Drosophila melanogaster: one gene and its partner. The protein of the gene in region 1 interacts with the protein of each later gene in a pairwise test. Each region holds a gene or a part of one and is shown on either strand. Other genes may lie near its edges.

Region 1 (6,455 bases):
AATTGAAGTGGGGCGAGGGGGTCGGGTGTTGTTTGTGTACCTCGGGTCGATTCTTTGTTTACCTTTCGCCGATTGCCCAAAAGTCCCATCATACTTTGCAGCGGGCAAAGTGCCCAACAACTAGTAATGAACTTTCGTTGTCATCGACATCGCATCGCCACCCACAGCCACCCACTTCCAACGCTCGGTGGGATAGTTTTTTTCTTCGGGTGGGTCAACGCTCTGCTTTCGGATTCCAGTGCAATTTTGCCCCTCAGCCCTTTGGCAAATATTTTCATGGTCAGCCCGAATGTTTCCCATTTTTCCGGCACCGTCGATGACCGCGCGTCAGCGAATTGCTCCTCACCTGCCGTTTGGCATTGCAGCGTTTTCAAAAGGCTCAAATAACATTCATGATTCCCAATTGCAATGAACGTATTAGATATATAAATAGTTAGGGTAATGTAGAGTAATGCAATTTAGTGGTCTTGAATAGACATTTTTTAAAAACTAGTCTCGGTAATTAAAATAACTCAGAATATATCGAGTTAATCGTATACAACGATGTTTTAATGTAAAATGCATAACTATACAGACACTTATGTATATTCCATTTAAACATGCTTAAGCATATATTTTTACGAATTTTGCAAAGTTCTTTTAGTCTAGTTGCAAACGCATAACAACAAATTAGTGATTTCTGAGTATCGCAAAAGTATCAACATTCACTATGCTTACAACTATGCAGATTTCGAAGATGAGTAAGAGGTGTGATAGCCTCTTTGGCCCCCAAATTGTCTGTGGGAGAACTAAGAGAATTTAAATTTAAAAACAACCGTTGTCATACAAATACAGTGAGTATTATAATTAAATAACAAGAAATTAATTGAAGTGCAGGTGAAAAACAAACGAAGCCTCTTACAATACAACCACTTTACTCCAATTAGTTTATTATCAAGGCGACTGTTCTTACTATAAATTACACATCACTTACAATAAATATAAATGTATAACATATGTTGCATTATAACCATGCAACTGCTTTGCTTTATAGTTTCGTGCCCAGAAAAACTAGGCGTATGAGTAATCTCGCATCCCTTTCGCTTGGGAAAATCACTCATCCGCCGCGTTGGCACTACATTCTGGTACGCACTGTATTCACTTCGTGTATGTGTGTATTTAAATGGTCGTGAATAGCCTGACAAGCTGGGCGAGCAGTCTGCGAGCGATCGAGTGGATAAAAATATACGAATTCCGCCCGGGCCCGGGGGCACATTAAAATAAGGGGTAAGATTAGGATGTCTAACCGATCTATTACTTTCACTTACCCGACGATTCTTATTCCTAAAGGGCTTGTAGGACTTGCCCTTGTGCTTGGCACCCAGATGAAGCTTTTTCATGGCTCACAAATTGTTTTGGAATCACAAACGGTATAGGAACACAAGCCGAAATTTATGCTGAGCGTCTAGCGCGATTTCTACACCCCCCCGCCAAAAGTCAATTATGCAATCATTTTTGGAATCGTTTCTGCGGTCGCACAACAAAATAAACAAACACTTTGCCGTTATGGCCACTAATCGTTAAATGGCCAAGAGCCCCGCACACACACACACACACACAGGCACACAGACACAATTGCTCATCGAATTGGGTCACAAATGTGGCTATGGGACTTAGAGTCCGTCACATGGCAGCGATTTGAACGAACGCAACGCCATCCTGCTGGAATCTATATGCTTGATGGGATTTATGTTCCGAGGGCGTGATCCACTTGGGCAAAGCAATGTGGAGCAGTTTCAAGCGGTTCGCGGTGGAGACGTCTGAATATGCGACCGACCGCACAAGACAGCAATTTCGACTGACAATATATTTGGCACCCGCGCCGCATCCATTGACAAAAATGCCCGCGAGAGAAACCAACGGAGACGATCTCGTGAGAATCATCTAGTAATGGGAAATTCAAGAGGTGAATCGCTCGGAAAATGGCTTGCAATAATCCGTTTTAGGACGGCTGCAGTTAGAATATATAAATACAGACGACACATGTTCTTTATGGCTTTCGAAAAGGAATCGGAGGGCAGAGGGCACAAAACAACAAAAAATAAGTTTTAAATCATTTTTTTTTTTGTTACCAGTTTTCCTTATCTCCAATCCCAATTTTTTTTTGTTCCATAGTATAAAGTCCAATTAAAGCATAGACGGATTTAATTCGAAAACATTCTTCACATGAATTTTTTTTTGCCACTAGTACTGTTGACCCTGGATTCCTTGGCCCAAGCCGCGCAGTTCCTCCATCAAAGCCGCCATTCCAATGCGCTGGTGAAATTGCTGCAACTGCTCTCGGTTGGGACTTCCCACGTAGTGGGGCACCTGTTCTGTGTAGGCGCCGGCGGATCCATAGGCTGGGGCCTCCTGGGCACAAGGAGCTGGGGCCAAATTGGGCTGGCAGCTGAACAGGTAGTTGGTGGGGCATGGTGGAGCCGGGTAGCCAGAAGAAGCAGCGGGCGCTGAATAAGCTGGAGCTGGAGCTGCATACGGGCAGGAGGCACCGGCAATGGCCACAAACGCAACGAGGGTGAGAGCAACGATCTGCATGATGAACTAAGTGATTTACAACTGTCGATTTAGTGACCAATGGTGGCATTCTTATAGCATTCATGCGTTGACTTTAATAACAAAACTCGGCACTTTTACCGTAGGCTTTAAGAAATGCAGTGCCATCACATAGCAAGCAATTTAAACGGGTCGCAAACTAGAAACAAGCAGACGATTATCACCTAATGTGGCAAAAAATTACTGTCACCATGCAGTCTGTCTCCCTTTTTGCAGAGCTTAATAGCAGAGCAATTAAATTATTGCGTCCAAAGTGCAAATCGAATGTGAATTTGCTCATTTTTTGGACCTCAGCTGTTTATTGACCCAATTTCCCAAGTACGATATTTAAGTATTACTTAAACGGCTGCCAATTTTTACAAGTTAATAAAACGTATGTAACATTTAATCTGCTAATAAATACTTCGCTTTTAAAAATGGTTATCCTAAAAATTAAATAAAGAAGTCATTTTATCTTATCGTATGTAGTAGAGCGACCCCTAGCGGGTACACTCAGAACAGATCAGGTCTCCTTAGCGAGTACACAAACCACAATCTAGATTTCGCCTTGGAGACTAGTTTATCGTATTTCAAGAGTTTTGCCTTCAAACACATAATTTCATGTTACGATAAAAAAATGTTTATAAAGTTTTCAGTTTATTTATAAAGTCAGAACATAAAAATATAAATTTACACAATTTGCAAATATTCTAATTGATTAAGTTTTCTTTTTATTATATTCGGCATATAGAGATCTTTTTGCCAACCTATCTGTTTCAGTTTCTTTTACGATAATTTAGCAATAAATGGAAATTTGTATTGAAAATTTATGTCATCTTTTAGTCATAACTCGATTTGACCTGCGTCCATTTATTATGGAAATCCTAATTGACCAAAACGAAACAGTCATAAACTTGAATGTAGAGTGCATAAATTGCAACCCGTTTTTTGAATGATATTCTATGCAAATAAGAAACATAGTTTCCTGGAAGGTTGGTAAGAAAATAATGCTTAAAAAGATCTATTTGCATAATTGGTTTAATTCGTAAGAGCAGCAAGTAAAACAGCTATGTGTGTACTAGCCCATTCTTTTCTAAGCTTAAGATGTAATATTTATAATTATGATTGATGACTATTCGATTTGGAACCTGTGTCTCGTTCAATAATTCCTTCTCTAATTGTGGCTTTAGTTATACAATTTGCTGATGATAACAAACAGTTTCTCATGCAACTGTCTGTCCAAAACGAAAGCCCCCCTCAAGTTGATATTGTTTTTGAATCTAACTTTGGCCGCAGGTAACTTTCCCCGCCGAAAAGCGAAGAGGGGTGTATACTTTAATTTGAGAAGGATCGCGACCGCTGGATTTTGGGTCGGGCAATTACGCACATGCACCATATAAAGCACACCACATACGTACATACATACATACATACATATGTATAAGATCGGACCTAAATTTTAATCATAGGCTTTGTGCCGATCGCCTGCCGCTGGCCTTCAAAGTGGGGCACCTTCGTTTCGAAGTGGATCCATCGAAATTTTCGGGTGTAGAGCCGTTTTGATTGCCCCCTCTAACGGTAAACAAATACCTGCCCTTGTTTTCGGTGTGCGTACGTGTGTGTATGTGTGTGTGTGTGTGCGATCCAGACATGGCCCCAAGATATACATCTTAACTGGAACTCCAATTGCAGGTAGTCCAGGGTGGGGTAATATTATATAGAATAATGGCCTTGGGACATACACCATCTTAGGTGGATTTTAATTGGTTATTGGTTCAGCAACTGATCAATGAATATTTAAGACTTAGCCTTTGTTTTATTGACTAAGCATACAATCCGTAGGCCTTCACTTCTCAAATATTTTATGGCCTTCTTTCTACTCCTTTGTTTTCGTTCAATTTTTTTTCTAGACGCTTCACTGAGATCAGTGGCTTTAATCGGCATTGGCTCGAGCCACCTGCCTTCGCTTAGACAGCGACTAAGACTGACCCAGCTGCTCCTGCCGTTTGCTCCATTGACTTGGTCCTGCGGCTGAGGAGGAGGATCCAGAACATACGCACACATGGGGACAAACACCAAGGGCAAAAAAGCAGACAAGCATATAACATGTCTCGGTACTTAGCGGATGATTCGGCGCCGGATACACCATGGTCGCTGGTCCTTGGCCCATGGCCATCATCCTCCTCCTCCGTGCACCGAGAAAAAATGTTATTCACAAATCATTTGCTGATCGGATGAGTCACATTTTAACTAAATTTTGATTAACTTTCAGTTGTAACTTTATTCTATCTATAAATGAACCAGAGGGATTGAAAATATATTTAAATAACTATGTGTATAACTTAAGTTGCATATGTAACACATCTTTTTTTTTTGCAGTGCTTCAAAGGCTGGAATAGCAGTCGTTTCGCTGCAGCCTAATACTTTTTACGGCATCTAAGTTAATCGAGCCGAAAAAAAAGGACTCGATGTGTTGCCACACTTTCCCGCCGGTAATTTAAGACCCTGTTTCCTTTTTTTTTTTACCACCAGCAGCAGCAGCAGTCAATTATGAGATGGTGATGGAGGACGAGATGGCACGGGGTATCCTCGAATCGCGAACGTTGACGAAATGCCGAGCTTTGTTTTAAATTAAATTTAATTAGCAGCAAGCCGAGCGAACGAAACACCTTTCAGTTGCTCGCGATTCCTTATAATTCATGCCTTCGGAACGGGGCACGTGTCCTCGTTTTGTGGCCAAAAACAGAAGCAGCTGCATTGGCTACAACACTGCGGGGTTAACAAGACCCAAACCGGCGGGTATGGGCAATGGTAGTGGGAATGGGAATGGCGGAGATGCACATTAAGTGGCCGTGGATGAGATCCGTGTGCAAGTAGCGCTAACAATGCCGTTATAAGTGGCCCATTAACACGGTGTCAACCGCCATGGAAGAGCAATTTCCGTCGCCATTGCCATTTATCGATTTTCAAATTCCATTCAAGGCGTATTTCAATGGGGAGGAGCCGATGGGGCGGAAGCGCACTCCTGCCAGGATATAGGATACAGTCGCGTTGAATACGATTAATGGGGCCAACTAGGCAGTTGTGGGCGGATGCATCCTGGACCAGGATGTGCGGGTTGAGCCACTTGTGTGTCGCCGATGCAATACGAGACCATTTACTCTATCGAACTTTATTTATGGGCAGTTGAAATGGGGGCATGAATAAATGCTTACTGGAAGCTAAGAATAGTTTGTAAAGCAATACATTGGAATTTTTTATAAATATTTAATGTAATTTAATCAGCTTCCTTTGAACTTTACTCTTTACAATCATGTTATGTACGAATTTATTTTGGTATATATATTCCAAATACTAAATCCAAAGAAATGATATTATAAAATCTGCTCATAATAAGAATCCTTTTATGAGTGTCAAATCATTCTCTGTTATCTACTTTGCATGTCTTCCATTTTTTCTTATATTAAATTCAATAAATTGTGAAATCATTGCTTAATCGTAGTAGTATGTTTGTGATTAACGTTCCTACCTGTTGGTTCCGCAATTCTCACGGCGTACAAAAGTGCTGCAGTGGGCTCCTCGATGGAGCTGAGCTATAAGCCGCGAATCCTTCTGGCTTCTGGGATCAATTTAAAGACGTTTGGCTTAGTTTAGTTTCATCTGCAAGGAAGAGGAGTAGAGATAGTCATTAAGTAACCAAATGGCAGACCGAAACAGGAAATCGCAAATAAAAGCAAGAAGAGCGACGCGATCGGCACTACATATAAATATTTATGTGGCTATGTTTGCGTACATTCTTCGACTCTTGCAATGAGAATTTCAAAGTCAAGGTTAACCACACAAACATTTTCGCATTTCGTTTCTCTGGCTTGTCTCCTCTTCGC
Region 2 (8,799 bases), on another chromosome or scaffold:
GGCAAAAAGAAATTAATGCGCAAAAGATTGTTTCTCGTTTTTTATTGCCAGGGGTGGTGTTTCGCAATGTTCCCACACTCCATGGACAGCAATTTCGGTTGCTGGGTTTCAATGTAATTGTAATTTTGGTTTCAAGTGATTTTTGTGGGCCAAGAGAACAAATTACAAGTAGCTAAAGTGTGTTGAATTAAATTAAACTATGAGCTCGGGATTTGCGATAAATATTTCAATTCTTAAGCATGCGAATTGAGGAAATTAACTTAGAATTAAGTAAAGGTTTCTAGACTAGCATTCCTAACAATTGTTTCATTTTGCATTGCATTGTTTTTAACCGCTTTTCATCTAATTTCTGGGTCATTAGAACGTTTTGCTCGTTAGTTTACCATTGGAACCAAAACAGAAACCCTTTTTTCGGGAACATGTTGAGCAGCTTAGGTAGCCACCAGTCCCTCTAGAAACACATTTGGCCTACGAAAGCACCCTAAACTAAACTAATATGCCAGCGTATATTAAAATATTTTAACCCTGCTACCTTTGTGACACTGTTTCCCTTTTGGGGATTATGTTTCTGGAGCAGGGACAAGATCCTGCGGTCGCCAGCTTTCCAGTTTTCCTCGATAATTTCCCGTTCCTCGTGGTGTTCGGGGTTGCGACCCCTGCACCTTGCTAACCCCGCTCCCTAATTACGAGTGCAGCGAGTGTGCAGCCGGCTTAGCTAACCGCCGCGGATTGGGTGCTCATGTGTTTATTATTGCTGGGTATGCAAATTTCATAAACCGTGAGCGGCATTCATTGACCCCCAGAGCTCGCTGACCAGCGGCTAGTGGTCGGTGGTCGATGGTCAGCGGTCAGCGGTTCTCGTTGGTCCAGCGATGCTAATGAGCACAGTGGCTGCTGATTAGACCCGGATTACTTCCGATTCAATGGTCTGGTATGAAAGATTCTATATTTTCAAATCACGTGTATAAAATACAATTTATGTAAAAATGCCAAATGGATACGAATTTTGGGGCATCCCTACTTGTCAGGTGGCAGATATCCAAATCGCATTCGCGCCTGCTCGTACAAAACGAAGGTGATAATCGTATTGGGTGACACTCGTATCAGGGCCGGAATGAATCCCTTGTAGAAGGCCAATGGGCCCTGTTTGGCGGTACTCAGAAAAGCACCTCCGATCCCGGAGAACTCCCCCGGCTGGGCGTTCATGAAAGTCGTCTTGATCACATCGAGCGGCTGCGTTATCACCACGGCAATGCATCCAGCTATCGTGGATGTGGCAAAGTGCAGTGGTACTCCCTCTCCTGCCCCCGTTGCGATCTTGAGCATCTGCTTTACTTGGTCGTAGGCTGCATTCGTTCCGATGGTCAGCAGGACTGCCCTGGAAACGGCCGGCACTGTGCCGCGGAAGAGACTGGACACGCCCTCCTCTTTGTAGATGCGGAAAAGGCCGTCGAAAACGTGCTTGTAGCTGCGGAATTCGTCTTAATTATATGACTCGTACGTATGGGGGGAAGAAATTTGCTGTCCTAATGACTAATTATCAATAGCAAACCAAAAAAGCACGTGGAGATGAAGACAAACGAACAGATGGACAAAGTCTGGGAGATCTATGGTACAGGAGCCCCCGGTAGTACTCACTTACGTCGCTTCTCCTCCGGCAACTTGACGTCGTTCTGGAGTCGCACTGTGACCACGTCCCCGGGTACACCCACAATCCCACCGACGATTCCCGCAAAGGTGGCCAGGGCCATCTTGGAACTAACTTTTTGCGTGTCGACGTAGTCCTTACCGGCCTCGTACAAGGCGAAGCGAGTGGTGGTATAGGTCAGCTGGCGAAACCAGGAGGCCGAAATGCCATTGTAAAAGCCCAAGATTCCGCTCCGCTCGTGTATGCCTTTAAGGATCTCCCCCACGGTCTTCCGGTCCGCTTGGGATTGGGTCTGCAGCTGTACCTTGATGAGATCAATCGGATGGGTGCCGGTGACTGCGATTGCAGCGCAAACCCCTCCAAACCACCAGCGCGGGAGGCGCCTCGAACTGTCTTCTCCCATAGACCGAACTTAATTTCTTGGAATTTTTTTTTAGAAACCCTAAGCTATCTGACGTGTAAAACTAAAAAGAATTCGGTAAATTTTTCGCTGCAACGAATTGTTCCCATTTAGCTAAGGATAATTCAGCCGCTATGACGGCGAACTGGTAGTCCTCGCAGTGACAAAGCGCACCTCAAGAATGTTCGTTAAAATTAATATTTTCTCTGATAATCCAATAATAGCACTAATCAAAGTATGCGTCATTGATATACCTCAAATTTTTGAATGTGGATCGTCACTACTTGTTTAAACTTTTTTGATTGTTTTTAATAATTATACCCGTTACTCGTGGATTATATATATTCTTATATATTATATATTATATATATATTTTTGATCGGAATCAATACCTGATTCAATCTGGCCATGTCCGTCTGTCCGTCTGTATGAACGTCGAGATTTCACGAAATATAACAACTAGAAAGGCTTTCCTGATCCGAATATCAATTATCAAGCGAGTTTCAACATATTCACTTATACACTCATGCGTTTATTTACAATAGATTCACAAAGTGTTCAAAGTTATAGTTATCATAGGGTATAACTTAAGCTTAAAGGCTTACGGGACTAGCTAATCTCACTGCGTTGTTTCTCCATTTTTTTCTCTCTGTGTAGGATGCGAAACTTAAGACTATCACACTTGGTCTGCTCTGACTAGAGGTTGAAATATCCCTTCTGAGGCTTATGCCCACAATCAATAGGCCATCTCGGCGCCCCAAGGACGATAGGGCTTTGCTCCGTTGGGAGTGGCGTACTGCAGCACACTGGAGTTGTTGTAGTCCTGGCCTGGCAGTCCGCTGACCGGATACTGAGGAGCAGCACTATAGCTAAGGCTATCGGAACCTATGGCCGCTGGACGATTGCTGTTGGTCAGCTCTATGTAGGTGGGAACCTGCTGCTCGGAATGCACTGCGCTGTGGTCGTGGGTATAGTGTTGCTGCTGCGTCGGCTGAGGTGTTGTCTGCGTCCGTTGCTGTTGCTGCTGATGCTGCTGCTGTTGGTGTTGCTGCTGCTGCTGCTGTTGCTGCTGCTGTTGCTGCTGCTGTTGGCTGCTGCTGTCAGAGTGGAGATCATGGCTGGGCAGCGATTCAGTTACGGCACTTCCACTTGTCCGCGAGACACTGGTGCGTCCTCCCAGTTGCTGAGCCTGCTGAGAGGGCGAGGCACTTAGTGTGGGGTAGCTGGACACATAGGCACCCGGGTTGGCTGGCGCCGCATAGCTCTGGTAGGGAGCAGCCGCACAGTTTGGCTGATAGCCGGAGGAGCTGGGAGCAGCCGGAGACCAGCCACCCGGACTGGCGCAGCTCTTGGCCGACAGTTCGCGCTGCTGCACAAAGTACTGGAGGTGGGACATAAGGCGCAGGCGCAGAGGATCCTGAATGTCCATGCCCTCGATGGTGACCAAATAGCGGGCCACCTCTGCGGCGCACTCGCGGAACCCAATGATATGGTAGTCCATGGCCACTCGCTGCGGATCATAGCTAAGCGAGTCGAGAGCTGCAACAAGATACGAGGAGGTGGAGAAAGTCAATAAGCTGTCTAATCCCAGTTCAGGCAAACAATTAAAATAGCTGTTCCCACGCGACGAGCATAAAGAACAACCCCCATGTCCTTCGGCGGGATGGCTTGTTGTGAGGTGGCTATCGGGGGGTGAAAGCCCGCGCCTGGCTACAAGGTTGCCATCGTGGTGGTGCCGCTACTGAGCGTGGGAAGCCCCGAGATTCGAGATTCACTTGAGCGCTAGGCTGGCGCTGGTGGTGGTGGTCCTGCTTTGCCTACGGCAATCATAATTTTCCCACAATTCGACCCTGTTCGGGACAACAGGTCAGGATTGTTTACCCAGATTTGTGATAATTTGCCGCATATTGTATTTAATATCGTTACTCAATTGTTTCCCACAGCGGCTTGCGTTTAGGGATTCTGCTTGCAGTTTTTCCCATTCCAATTTTTTATAATGTATTGAAGTTCATATGTATGTCAGATATGCCTTGATTAATTAGTGCGCTAAATGGGCCCTAATGTAATATTAACTGTCGAAATAAGAAATTACTTTCTTTACACTTTACTTCTTTTAGTTAACCAACTTAGTTGGCTGCCCAAGTTAACCCTCTATTTGCTCCTATTGTGATTAATGACCCATAGAAGCGTTTAACTTCAGTGAGGAGGTCTGTGGTGCAGCTAGCCTATTTGCTTTTTAAAACCTCTTTAAGCTAGCTCAAGTGGGCTTGGTAAACTTACTTTTAGACTGCAGACTCTTGAGATGCTCCACGGTCAGCTGAAGGATTTCGGCCTTCTCCAGCTTGGCGGATCCCTGCTTCTCGTAGGCGGAGGGCACCAGGCGCTTGAGTTCGGTGAGCGAGGAGTTGATCCGATCCCGCCGCTTCTTCTCGATCACTCCGCGTCGCTTCTTGCGGCTCATCAGTTGGCAGCTGCCCGGCTCACTGGGCGAGATTCTAATGGAACAGAGGAAAGGGTTTCTATTAGCTATGGATTGAAGTTAATGATAGATTCTTAATCTTAATATCTTAATCTTTCATAGACTGAAAAACACTCTATGGTGTTACTAAAAAAACCTCTAAGTTACAGAACATTTTAAAATCTATCTTTTCTTAAAACCCTATAGTTTAGTGATTTATATTTTGATGGTTTATCAGCAACTTTGCGTTAAGTGGAGTTATCCATGACTTCGATTCACTAAGTAAATATCATGACGCACTATTTTTTTTAGCAACATAAAACGTTTGCACATCGCATGGTATTTTCAAAGGTTTCATTTTACAAGACAACTCCTAACTTGGGAACTGCGAATAGCTTTTTGTGCACTAAATTGAAAAACAAATTTTGATAAGAAGTCACGAGTACGCACTGTTCCTTGGAGGACTCCTCGGAGTAGAGATCGTCGCAGTCGCTCTCGGAAAGCGTCCGCTTCAGGCTGCCGATGCCGTGGCTATGGCCCTGGCTATGCCCGTGGCTGTGGTTGCTGTGGGCGCTGTGGTGGCTCTGCGGCGGCGGCACCCAGTGGCTCTGGGGTGTGGTGGCGGTGGCGCCGGGCATGACCACGCCGGGTCCGGCGGCGTAGCCCCAGTGATGCAGCGATGGCGCATTGACGTGCATGTTGTGATCCATTGTGTGTGGTGACCAGTGTTTACTCGCTGCTCCTGCGCACTTGACACTACTGTGTTGATGTTGCTGTTGCTGAGCTGTAGCTTTGCGTGCTGCTAGTTGCAGAGGCAGATGCAGTTGGCGGCTAGACCGGGCTGGCGGAGCTAGTTTGAGCACGTGACTTATCGTGTGCGCGAACGGCGTTCGACTGATTCTGTAGCACACGTCGAGCGGACGACCTGCCCTCCGCTGCCGCCGCTCAACCCCTTTTTACCGCCTGCGGCAGCCGTCCAATAAGATGCAGCAGCAACCACCCCCTGGCAACGCGCAGCGCGTGCTTGCCGAGATTGGGGTAGGAAACGGGAAGCAAACATATTCGCCGCGCGGCGATCGCCGCCAAGTGAGCAAGTGAGAGTGTGCGACAAGGAGCGACCAGCGCCGGCAAATGAGCAAGCCTCTGTCATCGATTCATCCGATTGTATCGCCCGACCATCTGATATAGCCTTTCAGCAGCCTCTAAAGCATCTAAAGCATCTAAAGCATCTGCAGCACGGCCTTTAATCGGCGCCGTGGGCGACAAACTGGCGGCGTCCGCCGTCCACTTGTTTGCCGCTGGAGCGGCTGCACCCGTCCATGGAACTCAAACTGGAGCACGCGCCGGTCGTGTGGCATCGCGTGGCGCCGGGTAAAGCCCCAACAAGTGCAACAGCCGCCGTTGACCTCTATCTGTGCAGTGGGACGCGTGCTGGTGGGTGGCCCACACAGTTCTAGGTCAGTGCCGGCTCAAGGTTGCGGCATCCCGGGTCCGGAATGGGAACGGGAACATCCACAGGTGCAGAAGCAGGAGCAGGAGACGAGATAACAACGACTGCGGCAGCAGGTGACCGAAGTTGACCTAGAAATTGCCCGAGGTAAAATCGACTTGTTTACCTAGAAATATGCTAATGCGGAAATAATTCACTTTAATGTTATCGAAAGCAGCGTTTCATCACAAAGGGATATAAGGAACTTGGATGGCGACGGTAAAACGTAAATATGTTGTACAATTTTACGAAAAAGCAGACGTGAGCTTTATCTTTTTCTTTATCTTTTTGATTTGCCATTATAAACTCTTAGATGCGCTTTGTCACTGCATTTCGAATATTCACATGATTTAATCCATTCTAAATTTTTTGCTGAATTGGCTAATCTTATAACTTCCTTAATTGTTCCTTGTAATTGTATGAACGCTGAGCTCTCGGGAACTATAAAAGCATGAATGTAAAACTAGTTACTAGGATTAAGAGCTAGATTGTTACAGAAGATTGCAACGCCTACTCTTAAGGACACAAACCGGCTAAAACTGCCACGTCCATACTTTTGCAAAATTGTCATATTTTTTAAAAATATTTTGGCCACTCCCAGTCTAATGGCCACAAGCTGTCAATCTAAAACTTTTGAAAAATGTTTTGATATTTTTGATTTCACTATTTTTTTTGACAGCTTTGATCGCTATTCCACCAAAATTTGTCAGTTTTTCTAATGATTTTACAAGCTGAGATAGTTAACATCGAAATTAACGTTCTGTCTGTTTTGGTTAATGTTTCCCCATTAACTTTAATGTAATATATTTTGACAGTATTGTGTTCATAAATTCAATATAACAAGCTGATCAATGTCAATATTACCTATAAATTTTATTATGATAAACTATTTCATCCAAAATTTCCCATTATTTCTTATATCAGCCGCACGGAATGTGTGTTTAAAGCTAGCAGTAGATTAAAAACAATTAAAATGCGAATGAAAAACAGTATACGGTGGAGCTGATATATTTACATATATATGTACGTTGTGGTTTGACATAACTTTCCCTAATAAAAACTATACTTGAATTATCGTTATGCAAAAATAATTCTTCTGTAGATATCTATGTTAAAATGTTCATTTCAACTCCTTTGTCCTGTCACCCTAAAGAATCCCAATATTGCTATATGAATCCCTATACTATTGTATATACTTTTATATCCCTTTACTATTATATGTTGCAATTTCGCATATAACTGGAAATATCATTAGTTATTCTCCCCCACAAAATGATTTAGTGTAGCATTTCTCCCATTTTCTCGATTAATTTCGATGGTCGAGGCGTAAGCTTGACTATAATGGAGCCCCGTATCAATTTCAAAAACGTACATCAAAATCGAAAATTATAAAAAGTGCTTTTCATTTGATTCGGCATGCTGTCGCTCAGGTTTCGAGTGCGGCAAGCAGCAAAGTGAAAATGCCTAATGTCTAATGGCCAATGCCAGTGGCAGTGCCAGCGTGGGACAAACTCGCTCCGAATCGCCGGAACCCACCCCAAATCAAGTGGATGAATAGTGGCGGGCAAGTTGCACCACCGACAACGGGACGAACCCACGAAATCGCAGCCGTGGCTCGTGGGAAAGCCAAAGGTCTACGGATTCTCACGAGCGTCCAGCACACGTGCGGGTCGTGCGCCGGAATGGATCGATGGATGGATGGGTGGGCGATGAACTTACTCCCACCCACGGGGCACAGGGCATTCGCATTCGTATTCGCATTCTGAAGTGCATTACTCAAGGTATGGAGCCAAAGGTATGGCGCCGCACACACATACACACTTTATTGTTAATGGATATTCTCGAAAACAACTTTCTATAATGAAAATTGCGGTCTACCGACTCAAATACTCGATTACATATATGTATAATATACTCGTATGTAGGTAATTCTCACAAGACTGGTTTTCGTGCTCTATCGCTGGACGCAAAGTGGAGGTTACAAAGCCGCCGAGTGTCCGTTTCCGGTCTCAGAAGCTCCTAAGGCAAAGATTGCAGTTGTTTCCGCCTACTGCATTGTCGTGTCGGTGCAGCTCCAGGCTGAGGGGCTCCGTGTCGTCCACCCAGGTCTCCAGGGTGCAGGAGCTGGACTGGTGGCTGGACTTTTGCGACTGGGAGAGGGATCTGGTGGCCGCCGCCGCCTGCCGCCACCTGGCTTCGAAGTCATCCCAGCGATCGCAGGCGTCGTCGTCCAGGGAGTTCCCGTTGATGTCCCACTTAACAATGGGGAAGTCGTCGTGCGGTGGCTCCATGATCACCACGCTGTGGTAGTTGCCCTCCAGCTTGGAGCCCAGGCTGATACTGCAGGGATGGTAGCGGCTGGGCGTGGGAATCCTTTGCTGCACTTGTTGTTTCCTAGGAGTTGCCTGCTGCAGCACTTGCTGTTTCCGCGGAGTAGCCTGCTGCTGCTGCTGCTGCTCTGGCTGCTCCTCCTTCTGTTCCTCCAGCTGCAGATCCAGACTGGAATTGGAGGGCGTGTGCCGCAGGTAGCGTACATTCGCCTTGTATTTCACCCGCTCGAACTCGATGGTCGTTAGTGGTGTGTCCAACACCTCGTAGTTGCCGCAGCTCATCATGTATTTGGTGCGCAGGTCATGCTTGGCCGCTGGCTGCAGTTCCTCCACCTCCACCTCCTTGGAGGTGGCCAAGTCCAAGGCCTGGTTGCACTCGCTCAGCTGCAGCTCTTCGTAGATGGCCTCCGTCACCGGACAGTTGCTGTTCACATCCAGCTCCAGATCTCGCTGCAGGTTGAGCTCCTCCTCCAC

What was found.
Region 2: the proteins of Vm32E (region 1) and Hey interact in a two-hybrid assay, tested with the Drosophila melanogaster proteins (one large-scale study listed by BioGRID).

The regions. Positions count from the first base shown.
Region 1 is NT_033779.5:11,169,061-11,175,515, forward strand, and holds Vm32E (vitelline membrane 32E), read right to left. Parts: upstream 2,606-6,455; 5' UTR 2,575-2,605; coding exon 2,224-2,574; 3' UTR 2,107-2,223; downstream 1-2,106. UniProt on the Drosophila melanogaster protein: Major early eggshell protein.
Region 2 is NT_033778.4:7,992,877-8,001,675, forward strand, and holds Hey (Hairy/E(spl)-related with YRPW motif), read right to left. Parts: upstream 5,403-8,799; 5' UTR 5,217-5,402; coding exon 4,957-5,216; intron 4,544-4,956; coding exon 4,329-4,543; intron 3,588-4,328; coding exon 2,785-3,587; 3' UTR 2,562-2,784; downstream 1-2,561. Other genes in the region: Dic3 (dicarboxylate carrier 3), read right to left, coding at 1,018-1,468, 1,639-2,051; CG11191 (uncharacterized protein), read right to left, coding at 8,005-8,799. UniProt on the Drosophila melanogaster protein: Transcriptional repressor which acts as a downstream effector of Notch signaling.